Saccharomyces cerevisiae S288C: one gene and its partner. The protein of the gene in region 2 binds, or shares a complex with, the protein of the main gene of each other region. Each region holds a gene or a part of one and is shown on either strand. Other genes may lie near its edges. A codon is read from its position in the direction of its gene.

Region 1 (4,551 bases), on a different chromosome or scaffold from region 2:
ATTCCAATCAGAAAAAGGGTGGACATATCAATAGGTTATGTTTTCTTCAATTAAGTAGTAGTGATCTCAAAAAGAATGTCTGGATACTCTAATTAGTGGCTAATAAAGCGTCAGTGCAAAAGATAAAGAGGGACAACAAAATAATTTAAAAGAAAAACGCAAAATAGTCGGTAACTCGTGCTAAAACCAGTAACGACAGCTAATATCAGGAAGATCCCACTTTATCTCAAATTTGCGCTTTTTAGTCCAATCTCTCACAGTGACTATAGTTTTCAATTTGCAAGTATATTCTCTCTAAGCCAATTTTTCTTCTTTATAATGCCTAAAACAAAAAGAAAAGAGGAAAAATTGTGCCCAGTAAAAAGAAATTCTCGGAGAACAAAAAAAGAAAAGTGCAACTAGAAAAGGACGCAGGACCCTTTTATAATTTTGTACGAGGAGAGCGACCCCTGCAGATTACAAAGATAATAGAGCCTATTGTAGTATTTATGAATATTAGACTAATTCTCATACTTATACTAGATATTGTTGTTAGTTTACATACAAGCCCGTAAGTTCATGAAATTTATTCGACCTTTTCCTTTGTTTCTTCCAAAACTTCTTCAACTATCTCTTCGATGGTGGTAAAGTCATCGCTGGCATCTTCTGGTTGAACGTCAAAGATTTTGAAATTCATAGATTTTTCCATTTCTTGGCCAATTTTTTCTCTATATTCGGTCCATTGCTTCAATAATTCACGTTGGTGTAGAATCAAATCTCTCATGGCGGTGTCAGCTTCCATTGCATCTTGCTCTTCGAATTGGGCAGACCATTCCCTCAAGTTTTTCCTAACCTTTTTCCTTTCGGCGTTAGACAAAATGGAAGCTGGCCTTGGTCTCCAGGCAAAGTTCTTGAAGCCAGCAATGATGTCTTCTTTAACTAAGTTACCAGCAATATTGAAAATTTTGTAACCATGCTCCACCTTGTGTTTCAAAGAACTTGACCATGCGGTAACGTATCTACCAGATGGATCCCAAGTGATATTAGTAGCCGCAGAGTAGGTAGGATGAGCAACATCTTTCAAAGAAGCTGAAACATCATTATTGTCATTAATATTCTTTTCACCTGGATAGTCCATATCGTAAAATTGTAGGTCTGATCTACGCATGTTTGGACCCACTAAAGCACCTACAACCACAAATCTACCCGCTGGAGACCAAGAAACAGTGTTGGCAAAAGTTTTTGGAATTTCTTTGACCAAGCTCCATCTTTTAATTACGTCAGTCTTTTCTTTAGTTTCTGGAGCGTAAAATCTGATTGTATTTGCTGGGATAGCATAATTCATATCAGCTACTTCATGAACAGAAATTGTAACAAATCTATTTCCGTGGGGTTCCCAACCGAATTCAAAGACACTATCTTTCAATTCAACCTTTTCAACTGGTATATCTCTTTCAGTCAACCTACAAATTTGTAGATTACTGAATTGAGTCTTACCAGACTTTGTGTGACGTTCGACATTGAAGCACAGGAACTCAGCTTGGTTTTGCCAGTGCAGAGTTACGTTGGAGACTTGAACTAAGTTAACGGTTTTTAGCACTCTACCGCGAGGAACTTCAGCAATGGTAGCAGTACAAGCGGAATTATTAGTCTCAGGAGTCCAATAAGCCAATAAAACAGAAGGCTCGTCACCGTTTCTGAATGGTTGTAATTTAACACCTTCTGGAGCAAATGAGAAATCTCTAATACCAGAAGGCTTCAAAGCCTTAGCTTCTAATGGCATGAAGTTTTTAGTAGCATCGTGAACTATTAAACTGTCTCCAACCATACGAGCACAATATTTATCATTATAAGACCATCTAACTAAAGGCCATTTCAGATATGGGCTCTTTATCACTGGGAAAGTTGCCATCAACAGACCAGAAGCAATGTCCCAGATGCATAATTGATGACCCTCATTTTTCTTGGTAAATGGAGAGAATTCGTTATCTTCTTCTACAATGATTGGTTCCGTGGAGAAAGTGACCAGGTACTTTTCATTCGGAGAGACGGAAGAGTTTCTTACATCTGGATGATAGAATCTTCTCAAACGATCGAAGTTTGGACCACCCCATGCAGTTACACCCTGTTGATGGTAAGAAAACAAATAGGTACCCTTTGGGGAGAATCTAACATAATTGGTAGACCAGTTCTCTCTAGATTCCACCAAAGAATCTTCTTCATTGAACATAGAGTTCCAGAACACACTAGTCTTCACGTCATCTTGTAATACAAACTGATCTCTCACTTTGTCGTCCATTAACCAGGATTTTAAGGAACTAGATGGAACGAATGTAGGCATATCAGGCTCCCTGAATTCGGTGTCAAAGTCGTCAGAATTATATCTTTCAACATCTTTCATAGTATAAAGAAACAAACGATGTTTTAAATCCAGTCTTTTACCGTGGAAACTCTTGATAATTTTTTTAGCATCGTTCATTGAGCCACATTCCACGAAGAGAAAACCTTTCGTCTTACCAGTGGCTTCATCAATTGGAAATTCCATGTTAACAACTTTACCAGCTTTGGAAAACAAAGAAGTCAAAGCCTTTTTCAAAACAGGAACTTTGGCGGATGGGATGACTGGGGCACCATTAACGACGATGTACTGATCGAAATTGAATTCTTCAGTGACCTTGTATTGTTCTTCCAGGTCGGAAAAATCAATGTCGTCAACAGGGATGTCCTCTAGCTTAATGTCTTCGAAAGTCTCGGTAGTCATTTGAATTATCTTTGACCTTTTGAGCTGTGTGTTGCGAGATACTATACTATGTACTGAGATGTTATTGAAATATAATTCGTAAATATTTTTCAATGTGCGTGGAAGAAAATTTTTCATTAGTTTCCCGCTATCCAAAATATGGAAAGGAGGGTAATAGGTGTCAGAAGAATAAAAGTATTAGGCGATCAAGTAATAATGATAAGATGGTGCACAATGAGAAGTTTATCTAGTTACGTAAAATGTAATGGAAGGTACTAAAATGTATTTTTTGTTTCGCGGCGTTACACGTGAGTTCATATTATTTCAACTCTTTGGTTCTTCTTAACGTATTATCAGAATGTCACCTATTCTAGGTGAATATCACCCTCTTGGTCAGTGGTAGCGTTTGCATTCGTAGCCACTGGAGCATTTTCATCATCACTGGACATGACGTTATCACTGTCATCTTCGTCCTCGTCATCATCGCCGTTAATTTCTTTTTGGGCAAAATCGATAGCTTCCTGTAGCAGATCGCCCTTAACGAACTTGTGCAGACCATTCGTTTCCGACAGTGAACACCAACTTATTTCCAATTCAAAATCCTTTTCCTTGTTATCCTCGTGTGCCAAATAGATAATCTTTGCAGCTTGTTTAACGGCCTCTCTTGCTGAAAGACCTTCTGGATGATGGTCAACTAATTTTTCCAATTCAGCCTTCGCAGATTGCCTACCTTTCCCAGTGGCAGCCCCCTTGTAGCCCCAATAAGAGCCACTTGGTTCCAACATGTAAAGATGAGCACCATTTTTATCTACACCACCAAAGATGGTACTGACCCCGAACGGTCTAACACTGTTGTATAAAGTGTGCGCCTGCACATATTGTCCTAAACGGTCTGCAAATGCAGGAATGGGAATGGGCGTTTTATACAGCTTTTTGAAGCTGGCGGCTTCTTCACGACCACGATTAACCAGGTGCCTACCATCAGGAATCAAACCTGAATAAACGCAACCGATGTGACGGTCTACGACTTGAATCTTGACATTTTTTTGTGGGACCAGCAGTTTAGACGTAATGAGCTTTTCCACTGCAAAGACTACACCGTCGTTACACTTTATACCGATTGATGTGGTACCGTTTTCGACTGCTTTGACGGCATACTCTACTTGGAAATTTCTACCATCGGGGGAAAAAACACTATTGGAAAGATCGTAACCAGTACCAATTGATGTCATTGCTGAAGAGTTATGCTTTTGTTAATTTGATGATGCGACGCTCGAATGTGTTTGAAAGCTTTACAACTGCACTACCAAATAAACCCTCTACCGCCACTATTACCACTTACTTTCTTATTTTTGCCACCGATTTAGAGGGGCGGCGAAATCTTCGTTAAACGTGATTTAGCTATCGGAACCCATTATAAATTGTGAGGAAGCTTACCAACTCATAAGTGGAATAAAGACACAGGCAACACTTTTCAGAAGCAATGTCAGCAATGATTCAGAAAAGTGACCCCATCAGGGTCGAAATCTGAGTGCTCAGATTATCTCTTCAAAGGGTAAATTACGGGTAGGACTACATATACAGAGAACTTCTGGGACCTGGGAAATACTGTTCTTTCTAGTGTGTATACATGGGAATAGCTGCATATTTCCAGACAGTTTAGATGTTACCTTTGTTTAAAGTTAGAGTATTTTTCACACCGATGATTACGAAGTCACACATTCGCATCCTGCGGTATTGTCATTGACAACGCGTAAAAAAACATATACTTAACGGAGGCCGAAGGAGATGAGAAACAATTGAAGAAAAGGAAAGGTAATATTTATTTAAAT
Region 2 (3,553 bases):
GAGAAGATCCCTGTCGCTTTCTTTTTTTACCTCAAAACCAAATGCGATCGACGGGATCGCGGCAACTTTTTATCGGTCGGAATGGTTGAGCTAGGGCGTTTTCGTAAGGGGCGGGGTAGAGTTAGAATTGTAGTTTTTTTTCCGTAGTGCCGTGCCCCCATTACCGAATCTCGGCATTGGGTACCAGAGGGTTAGTGCGATAGTTCTTTAGCAAGATGTTAAACCCGCCTATGCCCGGGAACTGCATACAGGGAAGATCTCACCGGAAGATTACCTCGAAGGGGAGGGGTATGTGTTTTTTCCCCTCGTGGTTAAAGTGACTCTCTATTAACGTAATGAAAAGTCTAAATATTATAATGACTTGCACTTCGTATCAAGATATGCGAGAGATCATAATAAACGAAATAATATCCACAGTTTGGGTTTCATATTCTTATATATATATACGTGCGTATATGCATATATGTATGTTTACTATACATCAACATCAGCATCAAAATTAACATTAATTAGCTTCTTGCATGTGCTCTTTAGCTTCGGCGGCCTTCTCCACGTCGTATTTGAAATCAAAGTAAGATTTTTCGAAATGGTGTAGACGTATGAACCCATCTTCACCACCGGAGGCATAACTTGTGCCCTGTGGGCTAATGGCAACTGTGTTCAAGGGACCAAAATGGCCTTGTACTCTGCCGATTTCTTCTTCGAAGATCTTGTGGTAGAACCTAGCTTCAAACTTACCTTCGTTGGCACTGGTGGTGGTGACATCCTTGGCCTCTTGACCACCACCAAGAATAATGAATTCCTTCAATGGGGTGATTACGGCGGTGTTTAGAGGACAGTCTGTTTCGTATTTCTTAAGAACTTGTAGAGTCGATACATCGACCAAGAACGAGTTAGTATCTCTGGATGATGTAATAAAGTATGTTAAATCAGGAGAAAATTGCATGTCACTGATGGACTTTTCGTGCAAATCGATGGAATCCACGTATTCGTAGTTGTTGGACACATCGTATTTGCTGATCTTACCGTCTTTATGGCCTGCAATGATGTATTTGCCCTTAGTCGACCATCCAGCCACGGTGGCAGCGTCTAAACCTTCATGAGTGATAATTTTATGGATTGGCTCTTCGGAGACCTTTGTTAATTCGTGAGTGGCGGAATCTCTTTCAATTTCGTATATGTTAATGGAACCTGGATTTTTCATGACGTTGTCCAAGATAGCTAGAAAGTAGTTACCGCATGGGGAAAATTCAACTCTTTTAACGGGGACAGGCGATTTCCATGTAGCAACACATTGCCCGTTTGACACATCCCATAATTTGATACTGTAATCAGCACTTCCTGTAACACAGTACTTGGTGAAACAGTCGACGTCGATAGACCAAATGGTACCGGTGTGACCATCCAAAGTACCTAATCTTTCACCGTTCAACGAATACCAAACACTGGCCGAGCTATCTTTCGAACATGAAAATAGTAAATCACCTTCTTTGTTGTACTTCACTTGAGTTAATGGACGTTCATGACCTGTTAATTTGATAGCCTTCATATTCCTTGTCTGTGCTATTTCTTTTTGTCTTCTCTCCTGGCCAGTTATCTAACGACCTTAAGATATACCTCGCCTCTTGTTCATCAGTAACTCTTCTGCAAATTTTTCTGTTCAGTTACGACTATTCGAAATTTTTCAGAGGCCGGAAAAAATTTCACAAAAAAAAAAAAATATGCGAAACTGAAGGTGGCACGCGGGGTAACTGATATATTTCATACGAACAGCGGCTATACAGAAACCCCACTATATTTACAAAGAAATATGCTCTGGAATCTACCTACAAGTGCGTGTTAATGAGCTTGAGTCTATAACCATAGTTGTGATGAAAAAGTACTTCTTGCGCGAAAATTCAGAGGATAAGACAACACAACAGAGACCCGCTGAATAAGGTTTCTCATCTCAATCAATTACACCGTAGTGTAGGGTTTTATCAGCTCAAGCGAGTTTTTCAACCCTTCCACAATCTTCTCTTTATTAATAAATATGTTGGAGATATCTCCTGTATGGGTAATATGTATATATGTAAAAAAAAAAAAAGAAAAACAAAAGAACCAAGATCGGGCTACGATGGATAAAAAAAAAAGAAAATCTGACTACTCACAAAACTGGTATTCATCTGTACTTTCAAGACGATTAAAATAAAAAGTGACATCTGAAAAACATCCAATACTCCGATGGCAGCCAGGAATCGTAGAAAGAATAACAAGAAAAAGTCCCTTTTGGTAACGAGTGCCGCTCAAGAAAAGAATGCGACGTATGTGCTCGTTGCAGAGGAATTACATAAAAAAACAATCGATCTAAACATGGGTACTGAAACACCTTTAACGGAAAACCACGAGAATCCTATACCAGCGAAAGAATTCAAGCACCAGCAAAAATTAGAGCCAATAGACGAACATGATGATGGCGAAGACGAATTATCGATAAAATTTAAGTCCATGACAAAAAGCTCGGGGCCTATTACTGAGGCTGAAGTTCAAAAGCTGCTCCTAAGCTATGCCTTCACAAGTGCTGCAATACAGGAGGACGAAAACGAGAAAGAATCGCGTCACTATCCTATTAAACCGCCTTCGCCATCAGCTTCTTCTTTGTCCGCCTATTTTCAATCCTTCGTTGAAAAATGCAAACAGGTTTTCTACAACTTCAGTCTGCAAACAGTAGAAAAATTAAATGCTCTACAAAATAGCTTGTACGAAGTATTTTGGATTATTTTTATTTATTTAAACTACTGGTTCCCCAATGTGGGTGACTATGTGAGGTATGTCTGTCGTAGCTTCTCGCGCCATAACGAAATTGCCCAATTACTAACACGTATTTTTACTTACAATATCAACCACCTCCACTAATGAACAGGCACAGTATAGAAAAAAAATCAGATCTGCATTTAAAAGGCTGTCTTTTCCAATGATCCTCGACCTTAGCGCGGCTAATCAATTCTACTCACTTTTTTGTTCGCTTTTTTTTTTTTGACCCGTTGAACCAAGCGGGTTAATTATTTTTTAAGGATAAAGGCTACCACAATCATGAGAGAGACACCATGTACTTGCAGGATTCTGATATTTTTTCTATGCTTGTTTGCTGACATGCAGATTCGGAGCTGGTTTTGATATTTCATAATCACCTATTTTTGAAGCAATACTTTTGGACAACAAGATAGCATTATTATTAGGATTTCCCTATCAAAGAGTCATTTCCGTGCACTTCGTGAAAAATCCAGTCAGAAAGTTCAGCAAGCAGTCAAGAATATCTACTTTTGTTTCCAAGAAAAGCCTTACCTGACAGCGTTCAAAGTCTCCTTTGCCATTGGACTTGTTATTCCGTGTTCCCTACTTTTTTTGATAATGGTTTCTACCGCTACATTTTTCTTTTTTGTTTACTTAACCCTTTTCGTAGTGATAGGTTTCTTCTCCTCATTATTCATAATACCCTTATTGGGCATTTCCTTTGTGTTTGCCATTGGCGTGGTATCATTTGGCTTCTGCAGCAACATGAGTTTCAAAATGG

What was found.
Region 1: the proteins of TIF34 (region 2) and PRT1 are in contact, whole or in part, in a crystal structure (PDB 3ZWL), measured with the Saccharomyces cerevisiae proteins. Residues at the interface, in NP_013866.1 of Saccharomyces cerevisiae: Lys20 (codon at 1,492), Thr163 (codon at 1,063), Lys164 (codon at 1,060), Lys166 (codon at 1,054), Pro206 (codon at 934), Asp207 (codon at 931), Thr209 (codon at 925), Tyr210 (codon at 922), Leu222 (codon at 886), Asp224 (codon at 880), Ser226 (codon at 874), Gln229 (codon at 865), Leu231 (codon at 859), Lys232 (codon at 856), Pro247 (codon at 811), Leu248 (codon at 808), Glu250 (codon at 802), Lys280 (codon at 712), Ile281 (codon at 709), Phe282 (codon at 706), Glu284 (codon at 700), Pro303 (codon at 643), Gln304 (codon at 640), Tyr331 (codon at 559), Val333 (codon at 553), Glu334 (codon at 550), Ala337 (codon at 541); in NP_015006.3 of Saccharomyces cerevisiae: Ile703 (codon at 751), Gln706 (codon at 742), Arg707 (codon at 739), Leu709 (codon at 733), Leu710 (codon at 730), Trp713 (codon at 721), Tyr716 (codon at 712), Arg717 (codon at 709), Ile720 (codon at 700), Met724 (codon at 688), Met728 (codon at 676), Phe730 (codon at 670), Ile732 (codon at 664), Phe733 (codon at 661), Asp734 (codon at 658), Val735 (codon at 655), Gln736 (codon at 652).

What each region holds. Positions count from the first base shown.
Region 1 is NC_001147.6:1,014,796-1,019,346, forward strand, and holds PRT1 (translation initiation factor eIF3 core subunit b), read right to left. Parts: upstream 2,858-4,551; coding exon 566-2,857; downstream 1-565. Other genes in the region: 3',5'-cyclic-nucleotide phosphodiesterase PDE2, read right to left, coding at 1-26; PRE10 (proteasome core particle subunit alpha 7), read right to left, coding at 3,085-3,951. UniProt on the Saccharomyces cerevisiae protein: RNA-binding component of the eukaryotic translation initiation factor 3 (eIF-3) complex, which is involved in protein synthesis of a specialized repertoire of mRNAs and, together with other initiation factors, stimulates binding of mRNA and methionyl-tRNAi to the 40S ribosome.
Region 2 is NC_001145.3:556,976-560,528, forward strand, and holds TIF34 (translation initiation factor eIF3 subunit i), read right to left. Parts: upstream 1,550-3,553; coding exon 506-1,549; downstream 1-505. Other genes in the region: LDO45 (Ldo45p), read left to right, coding at 2,224-2,805, 3,181-3,553; LDO16 (Ldo16p), read left to right, coding at 3,391-3,553. UniProt on the Saccharomyces cerevisiae protein: Component of the eukaryotic translation initiation factor 3 (eIF-3) complex, which is involved in protein synthesis of a specialized repertoire of mRNAs and, together with other initiation factors, stimulates binding of mRNA and methionyl-tRNAi to the 40S ribosome.